Linked DNA regions of Canis lupus familiaris. The protein of the gene in region 1 binds, or shares a complex with, the protein of each later gene. Links are inferred from orthologs where the notes say so. Each region holds a gene or a part of one and is shown on either strand. Other genes may lie near its edges.

The links.
Region 2: the proteins of ITGB1 (region 1) and FERMT2 are in contact, whole or in part, in a crystal structure (PDB 8TEE), measured with the Mus musculus proteins. The link is inferred for Canis lupus familiaris from reciprocal best matches to the Homo sapiens genes ITGB1 and FERMT2. Residues at the interface, in NP_034708.1 of Mus musculus: Ala786, Val787, Thr788, Thr789, Val790, Val791, Asn792, Pro793, Tyr795, Glu796, Gly797; in NP_666166.2 of Mus musculus: Phe609, Ser610, Asn611, Met612, Lys613, Gln614, Trp615, Asn616, Val617, Asn618, Trp619, Glu620, Ala629, Asp630, His647, Ile654, Ser657, Thr658, Lys674, Leu675, Ser677, Gly678.

Annotation. Positions count from the first base shown.
Region 1 is NC_049223.1:3,937,719-3,942,027, forward strand, and holds the start of ITGB1 (integrin beta-1), read left to right. Parts: upstream 1-1,359; 5' UTR 1,360-1,517; intron 1,518-4,309.
Region 2 is NC_049229.1:29,345,887-29,349,698, reverse strand, and holds part of FERMT2 (fermitin family homolog 2), read left to right. Parts: intron 1-747; coding exon 748-780; intron 781-1,105; coding exon 1,106-1,331; intron 1,332-1,596; coding exon 1,597-1,699; intron 1,700-3,183; coding exon 3,184-3,291; intron 3,292-3,812. UniProt on the Homo sapiens protein: Scaffolding protein that enhances integrin activation mediated by TLN1 and/or TLN2, but activates integrins only weakly by itself. Binds to membranes enriched in phosphoinositides.

The DNA.
Region 1 (4,309 bases):
AGCCCAAGGCAGACGCTCAACCGCTGAGCCACCCAGGCGTTCCTTCTTCTCTTTTAAATGTTCATCTTCACGTACTAAAAAAAAGCGAAGAGTAACACCATATTTTTATGGATGCAATTTTAGGTCTTAACCAATTTTACCTCTTAACCATGTTCCCCATAAATGGGCCTCCAGATTAATCTAACAAAAGGAGATCCCTAACTTACCAGTTTTTCTTTTCTCTAAAACTTTCCTAAAAATCCATCTTTCTTGGCATTGACCGCCTTCCTGTCTTCACCACCTCATACAGCCAAGTCAAGCCAACTATCCACTCCAGTCAACAGTAGTGGCTTTAGCTAATTCCCTAGAAGTTAAAGTTTGGGCCCCTGGAAGCCCCAGAGGGTGGGTGATCCTCTGGATGTGCCTGGGACTGAAGGAGATCCTGGGCTGACGGGACCACTGGGTGTGGCTCTGGGGCAGTGGACCGCAAGGCCCAGCAGGTGTTCAGCCCCAGGCTCCCGACGCCCCCCCCCCCCCCCCACGCACCTCCCTCGGTCGGTCGGTCGGCGGGAGCGGAAACTGAGGCACAGCGAAGGCCCAGTCCCAGGCCAGCTCCCACCCTGCTCCTTGGGCCTGGCCTCGGCTTTCTGGCCCCCTCCTCCTGGTCCCCCTGCTCCCGTGCTCCCCCGTCCTTGGGATCCTGCTCCCCTGCGCGTCCTCCCCTCCTCCTGCTCCCGGTCCTCGGGATCCTGCTCCCTCTGCCGGTCCTCCCCTCGTCTCCTCCTCCCCTCCTCCTGCTCCCCGTCCTCCGGATCCTGCTCCCCTGCGCGTCCTCCCCTCCTCCTGCTCCCGGTCCTCGGGATCCTGCTCCCTCTGCCGGTCCTCCCCTCGTCTCCTCCTCCCCTCCTCCTGCTCCGGTCCTCGGGATCCTGCTCCCCTGCGCGTCCTCCCCTCCTCCTGCTCCCGGTCCTCCGGATCCTGCTCCCTCTGCCGGTCCTCCCCTCGTCTCCTCCTCCCCTCCTCCTGCTCCGGTCCTCGGGATCCTGCTCCCCTGCGCGTCCTCCCCTCCTCCTGCTCCCGGTCCTCCGGATCCTGCTCCCTCTGCCGGTCCTCCCCTCGTCTCCTCCTCCTGCTCCCTCTGCCGGTCCTCCCCTCCGTCTCCCCCGCCCCTCCTCCTCTCCCGCCCGCCCGCCCTCCCTCCGCGCTCCTCCGGCGTCCTCCTCCCCTCCCCGCCTCAGGCGAGCTGACGCCGCCCGGCAGGAATGCGTTTCCGGAGGGAGGGGAGCAGGAGCGGCCGCGGCGGCCGGAGGAGCAGGAGCGGCGGGGCCGAAGAGGCGGTGCCGCGGGGGTCGTTTCCTGCCGGGAGGCGGCTCCGGGCGGCCGAGTCTCCTGCCCCCGCCCCCGAGGAGGAGGAGCCGCCGCCGCCGCCGCGCCCGAGAGCCGGGAGGCCGCGCTAGCCGTCGGGAGAGGCCGAGCCGAGTCCCGGAGTCCCGGAGCTGCAGGCCCCAGCCGACCGCGGCCCGGACGCCCCGGAGAAGGTGGCGCCGTGTGTGCGCGCGTGTGTGCGTGTGCGCGTGTGCGCGTGTGTGCGTGTGGCGGGCGGCGCGGGCCGGGGCGCCGCGGCCGGGCCTGCGTGGGGCGGGGGCGGGGGCGGGGCGGCGGGCGCGGTGGCGGGGCTGCGGGACGAAACGCTGCCCCGGGGCCGGGGCGGGGGCCGGGGCCGGGGCGGGGGCCGGGGGCCGGGGGCCGGGGGCCGGGCCGGCTGCGCCCGCCGAGGCCCGGAGCTCGTCCCGCCGCCTCGCGAGTGGGGGTCGCGGGCCTGGGCGCTGTCCCGCCGCGGTGGGGGGCCCCGAGCGCGCGGAGCGAGCCGGCCTGCCTCGTGGGCCGCCTGGGCCCGGGTTCCGCGTGCGGGGAGGGGCGAGCGGGGCCGCCCGCGGCCCGAGGCCCCGGGGCTTGGAGCGAGCCCTTGCGGCTTCCCTTTGTTCCCGGTCCCGTCGGGGCCGCTCTCCCCCGAGCGGCCTGGAGCGTAGTAGCGCGCTTCCCGCTTGCAGAAGTCGGGCCGCAGCCTTCAGGGCCTGCTGCCGGGGCTAACTGCGGGCCGGGCCCAAAGAGAGGCGGGCGTCGGGAGCCGGGGAAGGCGCGGGCTTGGCGACTTGGGGTGTGTGAGGGCCGCGCCGAGTGGGGGGTCCCTCAGCAGGGGGCCGGCCAGGGGCTCCCGCGGCTCTGCAGGAGCCAGTGCCCACCTGCCCTGGGGCCCGGCCTCTTACTGCGCCTCAATTCTTGGGCTTCCTAACAAGTTGTAGTTACTACCAATATTTTATGCCTAAGTCATTTTTATTTCATCGAATTTGTACTTTTTAGTCAAAAACTAACACTAGTAAATTACCCTCTTGGGGCTTCCATTTCCTCACCCGTAAAATGGGAACAAGAATACCTACACTAATAATAAAAGCAGCTATTCTAGTAAGGACAGTGCGGGCCGTGGTTAGCTCTACGCACTTTACCTGTGTTTATCCTGGAACCAATACAATGAGGTAGGTGCAGTTTTTATACTCATTTTACTAGTGAAGAAACTGAGGCACAGGAGGCCTAAGTAATTTGCCTCTGATCATCCAGCCTAGTGAGTGAAGAACCCATGGGGTCTAGCACCAGAGCCCATGTTTGAATCACAGGTTCAAGTAACAGGTTCCATAAAGACCATAGAGTTGTGAATATCAGATGTAATATGTAAAACAGCTTACAGTAGATGCTAAATGCATAGGACTCCTTTCTGTCTCTTCTTGATATATGAAAAAGATTTAAAAAAAAATCTCAGGACGTAATTGATCCGCTATGCTGTTATTTTTGGTTGTTTTGATGGTATAAAAATAATGTGAAATAAATGTTGGTTAGGCATTTTTCCGAAAGGGCATACAGCCTTTAGTTATATTAATAGACCACTTTTAGAAATGATTAAGGAATTTCAGGTGGAAGTTAACCTAGTCTACATCTGTGAACATCTACACCCACAGGGGATGGTAATTAAGAGTTCACTACAGTGTTCATATTTTTAAATAATTTTAGTTCATTGATCAATATTAAATGAGTGGCTTAAGATAATGAAGTGATACATAGGAAACAGAGGGACAGGTCTGTTGGGGACAGGGCTCTGGGGAAAAAGCCATTTATTTATTTGAAAATTCATAAAATGGAAGATGTTATTAGAATGTTAGCTAAAAAGACAGGGGATGTGGTTAATACTTTTGTAAATAGAAAGCAAATAAATTCCAAATGAAGGTATCTGTGTTGACTTCACAGACTTAAAATTTAGTTTTTGTAATGTTGAGTCTCTTTAAAAGAATGCTGAATTCTCCATTATGATTATTTTATATTACTATTTTATAATACCCTCAACAGTCTGTACGTGAAAAAATATAGAATCAACAATATTGAAAATTGCTAGGTTTAGTGATTTTAACAATTAGGTGGTTTTTTTCTTAACTCTCTGGTCAATATAATTAAAATCTGGCCCAAATTTCCATCACTGAATGAATATGCAGTTCTGCATGGTTATCAATAAACTCCTAACTCCAGGAGCTTCTCTGGGGACGTCTGGTCATTTTGTAATAGGCAGAATTAATCAGTTTAATGTGCCAGTTTTAACGGAATACTTGCCACATAATAGCTTTATTGTTTGGCTTCTTGTCAAATAAATTGCGGCTTACGATATGGGGGTGGGGTAGTATAACACTCTACCTCAGGAAAATATTTTTCTTTGATATTCGGTTGGTACACTGGTCTGTTCTTAACTACACTGCTGGAATGATGAGATGAAACATCTTTTGCCGGTTCAAAGTTGCAGAACTTCTGACTTCTGAGATTTTCAGTTTCTGAATGTATAAAAGCTTGAATGTATCTAAGGACTTATATGGACTCTTGTTAAATTTTAGATTTCCTCACTCTGCATGGAAAGTTAGGATGTATCAGGTTGGGGTAGAATCCTAGAGGATTATACTGTGCAAATATGAAAATATGTCTTGTGGTATTAGTGGGTCTGTTCTAACTTTGGTCATATATTGTGGGGGTTTTGTTCTTTTTTGTTGTCATAGTGGGAGTCTTGGGGAAGGGGGATGGATTGACAGGGATAACAGTAAGGAAGAGTGCCTTAGTCTTCAGGATCCTGAAATGGAAGCAGTATCTATAAATGTAGAAGGCTGAAAAAATATGACAGTATGTACTTGGGTTAAGGGAGTTGCAATCCATAAAACTCAGAACATTAGCAGCAGCCTCAGAATATTTCAGTGAGTAAGCTGAAAAAAAAAAAAAAAAAAGTGGTAGGTCTTCCTCAGGA
Region 2 (3,812 bases), on another chromosome or scaffold:
TAGATAAGGGAAAACAGTCATTCTCTTTGCATCCTCCATTTACACATTTTCTTTTTAAAAATTATGACTGAAAACAAACATAAAAGGGTTAGGACTTCGAGGGAAGGTTCTTTTACTTAACATTATTCTGAACTTTGAAGTCTTAATTTAATCCAGTCTCCTTAATTTTTGTAATTTAAAATGATGGAGGATATATTGTCAGTTGACTAAGTCAACAAGTTTTAATTAATGTAGCCTCTACTACATGTATGTCCCTGTTGAACACTGAGGAATTGGAAGATAAAATACCCCTGCCTTTGGGGCTTAATTATAAAATGTATCTTTGTTTGCAAAACTTTATCTTCCCGTTTGCTTTACTAGTTTATTTGTAAAGCTGTTGGAACCAGTTCAGCTATTAACTGAGAAAATGTTAACATAAAATTGTTCTTAGTTTATGTGCATTTATTCAGTTACATCAAGCTGTCTTAAAACAGGGTGTGGATTTCAAAGAGTGATAAACGTGGATATGTTTGTCACTGGATGCTTGACTAGAGCACTTCATTTTTTTGAATTGGACAAAAAAACTTATGTTACAGTTTTTAAGATTCTTTACTCTTAAATTCATCTAAAATATTTACTTCGGTTTATAATTCACATTAGGAAAATCTGTTTTTCTTTTTTCCATTTCCTTTTCCTTTTCATTTCGTTTCTGTCTTCTGTTGTTACCTTTCCTTTACCTTCTGAATTCCTGTCTTTCCTTTCCTATAGGCACCGATGTTCTTTACATTGGCCCTCTGAAAGGTGAGCCTTGCCACAATTAAAAACTTGATCTGTCTGCTTCAGCTATATTCTTAACATTTAGCTTCTAATTCCCTTGAACTGTTTTCCCCAGAATTTCTGCCAATGTAATTATATTCTTTTGACCTTGTTATTTATTATATGTTCTAATGTTGTACAAGTAGAATTAAAGTTAATTTTACATGTTTTCAAGACAGGTAAAATAATGTACTAAGCTCTTCCATAATGAAACTTGTTTCACAATTTGCGTTATATAGCATGTATTATTAAAAACTAAAATTCTGTACTTCATTCATACTTATTACCTATTTTTCATGTTATTTATTAGGAAGTATATATTCAAGCCCAGGACTTTACAGTAAAACAATGACCCCCACTTACGATGCTCATGATGGAAGCCCCTTGTCACCAACTTCTGCTTGGTTTGGTGACAGTGCTTTGTCAGAAGGCAACCCTGGTATACTTGCTGTCAGTCAGCCAATCACATCACCAGAAATTCTGGCGAAAATGTTCAAGCCTCAGGCTCTTCTTGACAAAGCAAAAATCAACCAAGGGTAAGTTTTAAAATACAGAAACATTGAGGGACGCCTGGGTGTGGTTCAATCGGTTAAGCTCTGACTCATTATTTCAGCTTGGGTCATGATCTTTTGGGTCATGGGATTGAGCCCCACATCAGGCTTGTATACACGCTGTCTCTCAAATAAATTTTTTAAAAATTAATGAATTAAAGACACACTGAAGAATTTCTTTCTCCAACTAGAGGTAGAAATATTTTATTAATCTTGTCTTGCATTCCACTGCTCTTGTTAATTTGTCCAGGTGGCTTGATTCCTCAAGATCTCTTATGGAACAAGATGTGAAGGAAAATGAGGCCTTGCTTCTCCGATTCAAGTATTACAGCTTTTTTGATTTGAATCCAAAGGTACCGAGGGTTTAGAGGGATCTCTTTTTTTTTTGGTTCATTTGGATGTTTGTTTTTTAGAATTGATGGGGTAAGTAATCATTTGTATATAGAACATCTGAATAATATTACAAACCCAAGCTTTAGACAAAGGCATCTGTATTTGAAATAAGTATTGTGTTCCTAGGTTGGGAACATAATTAAACTTTTTCTTTTTTGTTAAAATAATTGAATTTTTGGTTGATTTGTATTTTAAATGCACTAGCTTGGTACTATAGAATTGATAAAGTTAGTTTTAGGGATTTTTTTTTTTAAGTCTCTCTTTAAGCTGTGATTTTAGTAAAATAAGAGTTTCTGGAAAAAAAAGTGTTTCTGAAATAGTACCTTTTCAATGACTTTCAAATTTCTAATTATAAATCACAAGATGTTGCTTCAAAGAAAAACTAAGTCTACATTTCTTCCTACTTAGTTAGGCAAACATTGTTATATATTTTTACTATCAAATGACTGCATCATCTGTCCTACTGAAATACTTTGCTTTTCTGAGAAGAGTAAATTTGATAAGAAATCTTGGAGTATTTTTCCCTAGAAAACATATGGCATGGTGTTTTGGATCTTTTGCTTCCTTATTATCGTTCTTAGGTGAAAACCTCTCTTGGCTACTTCTCATCCTTTTCATGTCTAGATTATAGTATAGATTTTAATGTATATGCTTACCATTTTTTATTATGTGCTTAAGTAATTCTTTAACGGTAAAATGTATAATTTGGAACTACAAAAAACAGTCTTAGTCCCCTCAGGCCATATCATGTCTCATTTCAGTAAAACCAAAACTGTTTTGGGAACGTAAGTTATATTTGCTAGGGAAGAGGGATGCCATATGTTTTGTTACCACTCTAAAATAGTATTGCTAGTACATTACTATTAATTTTTATTAACATAACTAAATGGATAATTCAGTAACATATAAGTAAATCTTTACCACAAGTATATATATGTACTCTGTATTTCAGATTCTTAATATAATTACTAAGGACCTAGTACTTTGTCTAAGTATGCTTTTCCATAGTGAGCAGGGTGTTCCCTGAAGTAACTTACTCCCTGACTGTAACATTTTAGTGTGGCAGGTTGCAATAACAAGTGAAAATCAGTCACTTGTACCTTACTTTAAATGTCTCTCAAGTTAGATTCATTTTGTTAAGAGCTCTGTAATATCTAATTATTATTTCCCTGTAAAATAACATACAGAATCTTATTTCTAATACTGAGTAATAATATTTTGGCATATTTTTAATGTCATTTTTAATGGAAAATTAGATGTGGGAATATATAGATATACCTAACCCGATAGGTATCCTTGTTATTGAGCATTTGATACTGTATAAAAATCCCAGAAAAAAAGTATATTAAAACTTTTTGTTAAGCTTTGAAAGTGAATATTCACTTTTCAAACATTTTTATGTTAAGGGTGATGTAGTAAAAAGATTGTGTCTCTTTTGCTGCAGTATGATGCAATCAGAATCAATCAGCTTTATGAGCAGGCCAAATGGGCTATTCTCCTAGAAGAAATTGAATGCACAGAAGAAGAAATGATGATGTTTGCAGCCTTACAGGTAGTGGAGAGTATTGGTAAATGGGACTTTCAAGGGAAAGAGTAGGGGATTATTTTTAAATAAAGTAGCATTGTAATTCCAGTAGTATTTTGATAGTGTTTACTTTTTGCTGTGTGGAAACTGAATACACTTAAAGACAAATCCATGAATTTAATTTTTTTGTCATCTCATCTAAGAGTTTGGTGGTGGTGTACTGTTAGTGGTATACTTAACAGCTATTTTTCTGTATCCTATAGGAGAAATACATTGTCCTACCTCTAGATATATAGTAGCTTAACACTACCCCATTTTCCCTTAGAAATGGGATCTGTGTTGAAAATCACATTTCTAAAATGAAGCTTATTACTTGCATAATTTCCTAAGTAGCTGGGGATGATAATGTTTGTTAAATGGCTATAGCAAAAATAATACATTTTAAAGGTGATAAAATAGTGAAACTAAACATAAAAAAGTTTTTAGAATGATAATCCTTAAGAAGTAGGTAGCTAATATTTTCCTTATATTAAACCAGTGTTACCCCA